Arabidopsis thaliana: one gene and its partner. The protein of the gene in region 1 binds, or shares a complex with, the protein of each later gene. Each region holds a gene or a part of one and is shown in the gene's direction. Other genes may lie near its edges.

Region 1 (4,730 bases):
GAATGATCCAACTTCGAGAACAAGAGATGGCGTTGTTCAATCCGTGAGTCAGGAGAATCGGTTTCTTGATCCAAGAAAGTCACACAACATTGCTATTTTGTTGAGAGCTCTTAATGTAACTGCTGATGAAGTATGTGAAGCTCTTATAGAAGGTGAGTAATTTCCAATCTGTTGTTGCTTAGGTTACTCGCACTTACTGCAACATTGCATTGGTTTGATGATTCCTCAAATTGGTCTGTGATTATTGAAGCTTGACTTGTTTGACTTAGTTGATGTCTAATCACTTTCTTGTTCATGAATCAGGTAACTCGGATACGCTTGGACCCGAGCTTCTCGAATGCTTGCTTAAGATGGCTCCTACTAAAGAAGAAGAGGACAAGCTTAAGGAGCTTAAAGATGATGATGATGGATCTCCTTCCAAGATAGGACCTGCAGAGAAATTCCTCAAAGCATTGTTGAACATTCCTTTCGCCTTCAAGAGGATTGATGCAATGCTTTACATTGTCAAGTTCGAATCAGAAATCGAGTACCTTAACAGATCCTTCGACACTCTCGAGGTAAAACTCTACTTGTCCACCTCATAAGTGTATGTCTGCTGATCAAACAGATCATTCATATGCATTTGATCAAACTCTCAGGCTGCTACTGGTGAGTTAAAGAACACGCGGATGTTCTTGAAGCTTTTAGAAGCCGTGCTCAAGACTGGGAACCGGATGAATATAGGAACCAATAGAGGGGACGCACATGCTTTCAAGCTCGACACGCTCTTAAAACTGGTAGATATCAAAGGCGCGGATGGGAAAACCACCTTATTGCATTTTGTGGTTCAAGAGATCATAAAATTTGAAGGAGCTCGGGTTCCTTTTACTCCGAGTCAAAGCCATATAGGCGATAACATGGCCGAGCAATCCGCATTCCAAGATGACCTAGAGCTCAAGAAACTCGGGTTGCAAGTCGTTTCAGGTCTCAGCTCTCAGCTGATTAACGTCAAGAAAGCAGCGGCAATGGATTCAAATTCCCTCATCAACGAAACAGCGGAAATCGCCAGAGGAATAGCGAAAGTCAAGGAAGTAATCACGGAGCTAAAGCAAGAAACAGGTGTAGAGAGATTCTTGGAGTCAATGAACTCGTTCTTGAACAAAGGTGAGAAAGAGATCACAGAGTTACAATCTCATGGAGACAATGTCATGAAGATGGTTAAAGAAGTAACAGAGTATTTCCACGGGAACTCGGAAACTCATCCTTTTCGCATTTTCGCTGTGGTCAGAGACTTTCTGACGATTCTTGATCAAGTGTGTAAAGAAGTTGGACGCGTAAACGAGAGAACGGTGTATGGATCCATGCCACTACATTCGCCATCGAACCAGACCGCCACGCCTCTGTTTCCGGTGGTTATCAATAACAACTCACGGCTAAGTCCATCGGGTTCTCTAGACGACGACGATGGCTCGTTCTAAGTGAAAACTGTTGGCTCGGGTTTGGTTCGGTGTATGCTAATGTTTTGGTTTCATTTGCTACGTACTCAAGTAATATATGTGTTATACATATTTATATTTTTATTGATAGGCGAATTTAAATAGATTTTGGCAGATTGTTGCAAGTTGCTATCATCGGGCTCTGTACGTGTTCCAGTCCTCTGTTGAATTATTTATGTCACGTGTAGATGTATTTATTGATCTAAACCTAAAACGATAGAAGAACTAAAGTCTTGTGAAAAGTTAAATTATTGCAAGCTATACTATTTACAAAATGTAAAAAAAGAAACTGAAATTATTCTTTTGTTTGGTTCACATTAGGCATTTCCAAATTGCTGATGTCAAACATCTTTGCAAAGTTCTTCTCCCAACGAATTTTGAAAATTCACCATTTTCACGATTAAAATTTTAAAATTGACTAAAAAGTTTTAATCTCGCACATAATTAAACCACAATAAAAAAACTTGGACTTCGGATTGTTTTCCATGTGGGCTGATTCGAATTTGGGCTTGGGCCTTTTTAATTGTAATTTTATTTTTACTTATTTGTAAATGCGTCACATGTCTTCTTCGCTCTGTTCGGCTGCTTCATCGAGCGGAAGTCTCTAGCCAATTACCGTTTGTTCGTGGACTCGAGGTTCGTTGTTCTTAGATTTCCCAGACTCATCTGTTTCTGCAATCCATTTCAAAGTTTCTCTTTTTACTTAATCCAAGTCATTCGCGCATTTCCTAATTGGTCTGAGGTTTAGGGTTTTAGGGCACATAGTTTTGTTTGATTCGGGAGTAATCGTTGAGATGCTACGAGTTTGGTATTCAAGATGATTCCTTTTCTCAAGGTCTTTATGTAATTTGATTGATTTATGGATCTCGAATTGCTGACATGAATTTGTTGCTTAAAGTTGTTGGCTTTGTGGGATATTCTGAGGGGTCTTGTTTGATTTGGATCTAATTTGGTGGGCAGATATTGTGGTTTCTTAGCAAAGAAGATGAGTGGAGTTGGAGAGAAAGCTTCTGGAACAACTAAGACACCTGCTGATTTCTTGAAATCTATCCGTGGTAAACCAGTTGTTGTCAAGCTCAACTCTGGTGTTGATTATCGAGGTCTGTCTCTCTCTCTTTCTGCATTTTGTGTTCTCCTCTAAGATGTATCCAGTTCAAATTCTTTTTTTTTTTGCCTTGTGTGATGATATCTTATAGTTTGCTTCTGATTTTCGGTGGTTATTAAGCTATCGGAAGTCTATGTAAACTTCTTTATCACTTTGGGTTTAGATGTCTCAATGCCTTTCTTTCTCGCCATGTTACTGGAACCTTTGGATGTTGGTTTACAGAATGACTCTTTTCTTTGTCTAAGAACTGCTTGCTTGATTCTCATTTGATTTGAAAGTCCCATCTCTGAAGATTCATTTTTGTTGAGCTTGCTTGTTTTTTCCCTATCTTGTCTCTGTGTTTGAGAAGGAATAATACATTTCGGCTTGAGATATTTGCTTTGGATTTTGAGAAATATAATCTAGATGAGCAGGAAATTAACATACGGCTTTGAAACATATGCTTTTTGGAATTTGAGAGGAATATTAGATTCAGATGATAGCTTTGTGAATTGAGAGAGCTTCTCTCATGAGATAACAGACCCAAATGTGGTTGAATTTGAGATGCATTTACTCTTGCTTCTGATAGAATATGGACTCTCACCTTGCTATGGAGCCTTTATCACCTGAAATTAAGACCTTGGTCTCTTGAACTCTATAATATAACTTACAGGACTAGGAGAACTTCTAGCTTGAATATCTTTCTTTGGTTTATCTACAAAAGTCAGACTTATTCTTTCTTTGGCATATCATGTTGTATCAATCTACATATGACACTTTGTCTCTCTTCTTGTTTGCAGGCATTCTTACTTGTCTTGATGGATATATGAACATCGCAATGGAGCAAACCGAAGAGTATGTAAATGGCCAGCTGAAGAACACATATGGCGACGCTTTTGTCCGTGGCAACAATGGTAAAAACCAAATCACATTCATCATCACTCTTTAAATCGGTTTAGTATGTTTTTTTATATCCAATTCTGAAAAATATGCTCTATGTTGGCCACAGTTCTTTACATCAGCACAACAAAGGGGACATTGTCAGATGGAGCATAGCTCTCTTTCATCACCATGAATGTTCATCTTCTTCTCTACCTCTGGCATATGACAAATGTAGGATTTGTAGCAACCAGAGTTTATCACCACTGCATGAATTCGACATGTCTTTTTCTTCCGCAACTCAGTTTGTGTCTAAATCATCTCCAAAATTCTGAGATATAGCTAGATTTTTATTTGTTATGAAATTTTTTTTAATCACTGTTGGTCTTTGGAGCCTAATTATCGTGTTTTGATGACGCAATCACTGCGTCACAATCTGATGTCATCTTAACAATCATTAATGTATTTTTTTTTTCTTTTCTCGTAATATTCTTAATTATTCTTCGACAGCAAAGGTTTAAAAACTCCTTATTTCAATCATTAATGTATTTATGATTTGATCGAATAACAATAATATAGCTTATTTTGTTCTATTCTATCGTATTTGATTCTTCTTTCGTTTTTTTTTTGTTTGACTTAAGAAACCGATTGTTTATAGTAGTAAACATTTGTTTTTAATGTTGCTCGATTCCAGTGCACATGTCCAGGCTAGACACTTGTCGTTATAAAGGTTGCTTTGGTTCAATATTGATCCACTAGAGATGTTACAACTATTGTTGACATCTGAGATTGTGTGATAAGAAAATATGAAACTGGATTTAGTGAAAGTTACAATATATAATCATACATCATAGATAGGAAATAAGGAAATGTCAGATATACTTGAAGAATACATCAAATAGACAAGGTCCTTTTTCTTATTGTCGACTATTATAGAGCCGTACAGAACCTTTTCACGTCTTTAGTAATTAGTACATTCTCCATTTCGGCTCTCTCTTATTTTTTTTCCATCTCTTTTACTTCTCCAAATAATAACAATAAAAGCTTCGATTTTGTGTGTGTTTGTATTTACATCTTGACATCGATATTCTTTTCATCAATTTTTTACCAAAAATGTAATAAAAACAAAAAAAAACCAACGCTGAACACAGACATGGTTTCTCCATCCGTTTATATTCATCGTTTGTATGTTTACTTAACAACTTATTTCAAAATAGTACATATCATGGTTGTGTTTTTAAAAAAAGTATACAGAACAGAAAAGCACATGGTAGACAAAATAATGAAGCCAA
Region 2 (4,046 bases), on another chromosome or scaffold:
ATATCGAGGGTGTATAGAAACTTGAACCCAATTTTCTAATCGCTGGCTTTTTGCTGGCTTCTGGGACTTGTGTTTACTGTGTCTTTAAAAACATGGGACCACTTGATCATCTTTATCTCCTAAAGCTATTTCAAGAAGTAAAAGATCATTGACAGAAAAAGAAAATTTCTTGGAGAACATTGACAGAAAAAGAAAATTTCTTGGATAAACACACACATACATGTGCTTTTATATATGCATGTCTCTGAAATATGAAGGTTGGTTTTCATATATGTCTAAATCAAATTAATAGTGTTGATCTTTCTTTGATCGTGCAAAAATCTTGATCTTGTTGTTCTACACAGATTTTTAGTTGGGTTCAAAGAAAGCTTAGCGGAAAGAAGCGTGTGCCTACTTCAGATTCTTGTGAGTAAATATTCTTATTATTCATAGACTACATGAACAGTCTTCGCATAAATCATTTGAGCATATTTTCATATTTTTGTTTCATATGTTTGATGATGTATATATAGCTCAAGAACCATCAAGTCCTCCTTTGAGTAAAGAAGTCCAAGGTTTGCCTCAAGACGAAGAAACCTTCTTAGCCATCGGAACACTTGGAAACAATATCTTCCCCAAGCAAGAAGAAGAAGAAGAAGAAACAGATTCTAGCAAAGATATAACTCCGGTTAATACAGATGTTACTATCGGGAAGAAGAAATCGCTTTCTTTTCTTCTCAAGAAGATGTTTGTTTGCACAAGTGGCTTCAAAACTCCACCTCCTCTTCTTGATTTATCTAGAGGAGATTCATTGCACAACACACGAATGGAAAAGGTAAGCATATATGATCAAATTATTCAATCTTTAAACAAAATATTATTTTTATTATGAAAAGAAGTGAATTCAATAATAGTTATGTACACTAGAAACATTTTTTCCATATGTTATTTTGTGTGTAGATGCTAAGGACAATACTCAACAAGAAGATACATCCACAACGTTCAAATTCTATAGCAAAGAAGTACTTGGAAAGTAATCATAAGATTATGGATGAAGCTCGTTCAAGTGTTGACGCCAACAAATGGGTCAAGACTGATTCTGAATGTGAGATTTTCTAAAATTATATATATTTGGTTTTTCAGGTCGCAAAAAAAAAAAGTTTTATTTTAAACATACAGATGGTGTAATTAACCAAGTGAATATCATGACTGGCTTTATTGCAGTATTTAGTTAGGTCAAAAGCATATAATAAACATCATAAGGACTGAATTAAAATGCAGAAAGATGAAAAGTAAGAATTTAAAAATAGATAAATAAACAAATAGAAAAATGTAAACAAGAATAATGGATAGGGTAAATTAATTTAAATTTCTTTGATGGTTACAGATATTGTCTTGGAGATGTAGATATCAACCAATAAGCTAAATGGACCTGATTGATAGTCATGGTAATAATAGAATGTAAATAAAAACCAAAGTTTTTTCTTATTAAAAATTGATTTTCTATGTAAAATATAAAAAGTAGCAAACAAACATGATCACTGATTCAAGACAAATAATCAAAAATATGTTTTTCAGGTCTCAATTGAGTGATGGTGTAAGTTCAACTGTTCAAGATATGAAGAATAACATTGGAGAAGGGTCATAAAAATATCTCTGATAATCAGTGTTTACAGATGTATATTTACTTGTCAAACTCCATTTTTCATCATAGATTTGTTTTTATTTTTTCAGATTTTAATGTGGTGAAGAAAATCTGTTTGCTCATGTAAACTACAAAATATTCATCTTATCAAATAATTTTATTTGTATTTATGCAGTTTGAAATAAGTGATGAATAATGAAGAATGACTGAGATTTCTTGTTAAATAATAAAATGAAATGAAGGAAAACCCAAATGCAAAATAAAATGGGTTGATTATGCAATAGTTACGAAGTTTTGGGGTTTTAATGTATTTTTCCTAAAATTGAAAAAAAAACTCAGTCTGACCAAACTTTGACAGAACAGAATCGTGCGAGCCGTCAGACTTAACGAAAACGATCCATAGATCTCAAGTCTCTCTCTCTTAGTGAATAAATTAGGGTTCGTTGATTCTCTGTTCTTAAGCTCAGTAATCGAGGAGAAGAAGAAAAGGGAAGATCGGGAATTGGGAAACTGAGAAGTCAAAAAGGCAAATGCGAGTGGAGGAGATTGAGTTTTAGAATTCCAATGTCTTGGGCTGCTCCTGATGATATCTTCTTCTCCACTTCTCTTGCTGCTTACCTAGACAGTAATCTCTCTCACTCTCTTTCTCATTACTGATTCACCGGCGATGAATTCTGTAAAAAAATAAGATTTTGATCCCCAATGGTTGTTGAAGATGTTATCTTCTTCTACATGATTCAATAGTCTCTTAATGTTTTGATTTCTTGTTGCAGAGAAACTTCTTGTGTTGCTTCGTGATGGTAGGAAACTGATGGGTCTACTTCGGTCCTTTGATCAATTTGGTACTTGTCTTTCTCTTTTGCACCGAAAATCCAAAGTCTTTGAAATGGTTTTAAGAAATGTTTCGTTTGTTTTTGGTTTTCTTGAAGCTAATGCTGTTTTAGAAGAAGCTTATGAAAGAGTCATTGTGGGTGATCTCTACTGTGATATTCCCTTAGGTCTATACATTATCCGTGGAGAAAATGTTGTCTTGATTGGTGAATTGGTAAAGCTTTTACTAAACAAACCAATTCCTCTTGCATTTTGAAATGAAAGTTTCCACTTTTAAGAACGATTTCGGTGTTTGAATCGGGTTTCTGTGATCTTAGGACGTGGAAAAAGAAGAGCTTCCAGCTCATATGGTTCAGGTTCCAGAAGCAGAGATAAAAAGGGTTAGTGCAAATATCCTTCTCTCCCTTGTTGATTGCTTTAGCTCTGATTTGTGAGCTTCTTGCACAAATGTACTACAGCTGATTTGCTTTTATTTGGTTTAGTGTTTTGGATTCTACTGACTCCTCAATTACTCTCTTCCGTATACTCAGGCTCAGAAAGCAGAGAAGGAAGAAATGCTTTTAAAGGGCACAATGCGGAAAAGAATGGAGTTCCTTGATCTCGATTAGGGCATTTTCCTATGTGTTGCAGCATTGTAGAAACTAGAAGATCTCAAGATGGAGGATACAGAAGATCCTTAAACGTCATAATGTTAGTTGATGTGTGTATGTGTGGATGACATTGATGAATCCTCAGAACTTAGTCGTTGCAGATCCTCTGCTCTGTTTATGGAATGAAATTGTTGAGCCTGTTCTTTACTGGCCATTTATTTGATCAATCACAATTCAGTAAAAACAAAGATACAAAGATGAAAAGTGAACTCAAAGTACAGTTACAACCTTTGTATGATTCATATGAAAAGTTGAAGTAACAAAGCAAACATAGTATCCTTCTCTTAGTAGTTACCAAAAACCATTGAGCCAATAAGGCGTCTCCTCTAGGTAGGCCCTTTCACTCCGGGTAAGATAGCATTGTGATGAGTGACTCGTGTTGCGGAAACCTTGATAAGAGATCAGAGCGTTTCGCGAGCTCAAAGTCCTCGAACTGGAAAGCAGGAGCGCAGGTGCAGCCAACAAGAGAGAAATGGTTCTCAGAGTCTCTAGCCTCAGCTTTAAGCAGAGCCCCGTCTTGAGAAAAATGAACATCCTTTGTAGGAAACGAACCAAACCAGACGTTTGGAGGGACCGTGTACTGAGGCTTCTGATCACCTTCAAACAAGTCAGGACCAAGACATGTGAATTTCAACTTCCCATCATCGTAGAGTTCCACTACCTGATCAAGGCAAGAAGAAGAAGCCATATTCAAGAACATGGATTATATTCTTCTTCTCATTATACAGTTTTGTTCACTCACTGTAAAGACAAGAGCTTTGAACTTACAGTAAGGGGTTCACCCAAATAAAAGTGCCAGGTTTCAGCCATTGGTATGCGATGAAGACGAGAAACGCTCCCAGATGGAAGCAAGAAGTAGATACTTGTGCTCACAGCTCTGTCCACCTTAACTGCAGAGATTCAGAAAAATATATAAAAAAGGATCAAACTTGCGAGATGAT

What was found.
Region 2: LSM6B (region 1) and LSM1A share a complex: the UniProt entries of both Arabidopsis thaliana proteins name them as parts of the heptameric LSM1-LSM7 complex.

What each region holds. Positions count from the first base shown.
Region 1 is NC_003071.7:18,147,265-18,151,994, forward strand, and holds LSM6B (Small nuclear ribonucleoprotein family protein), read left to right. Parts: upstream 1-1,932; 5' UTR 1,933-2,111; exon of another isoform or gene 2,112-2,310; intron 2,311-2,435; 5' UTR 2,436-2,460; coding exon 2,461-2,575; intron 2,576-3,359; coding exon 3,360-3,473; intron 3,474-3,568; coding exon 3,569-3,615; 3' UTR 3,616-4,031; downstream 4,032-4,730. Other genes in the region: AT2G43800 (Actin-binding FH2 (formin homology 2) family protein), read left to right, coding at 1-152, 304-557, 639-1,457. UniProt on the Arabidopsis thaliana protein: Component of LSM protein complexes, which are involved in RNA processing. Component of the cytoplasmic LSM1-LSM7 complex which is involved in mRNA degradation by promoting decapping and leading to accurate 5'-3' mRNA decay.
Region 2 is NC_003070.9:6,606,100-6,610,145, forward strand, and holds LSM1A (Small nuclear ribonucleoprotein family protein), read left to right. Parts: upstream 1-2,015; 5' UTR 2,016-2,188; coding exon 2,189-2,249; exon of another isoform or gene 2,250-2,397; coding exon 2,398-2,466; intron 2,467-2,553; coding exon 2,554-2,669; intron 2,670-2,772; coding exon 2,773-2,835; intron 2,836-2,985; coding exon 2,986-3,063; 3' UTR 3,064-3,270; downstream 3,271-4,046. Other genes in the region: AT1G19115 (uncharacterized protein), read left to right, coding at 252-257, 345-405, 513-814, 940-1,084, 1,367-1,386; AT1G19130 (RmlC-like jelly roll fold protein), read right to left, coding at 3,446-3,766, 3,874-3,995. UniProt on the Arabidopsis thaliana protein: Component of the cytoplasmic LSM1-LSM7 complex which is involved in mRNA degradation by promoting decapping and leading to accurate 5'-3' mRNA decay.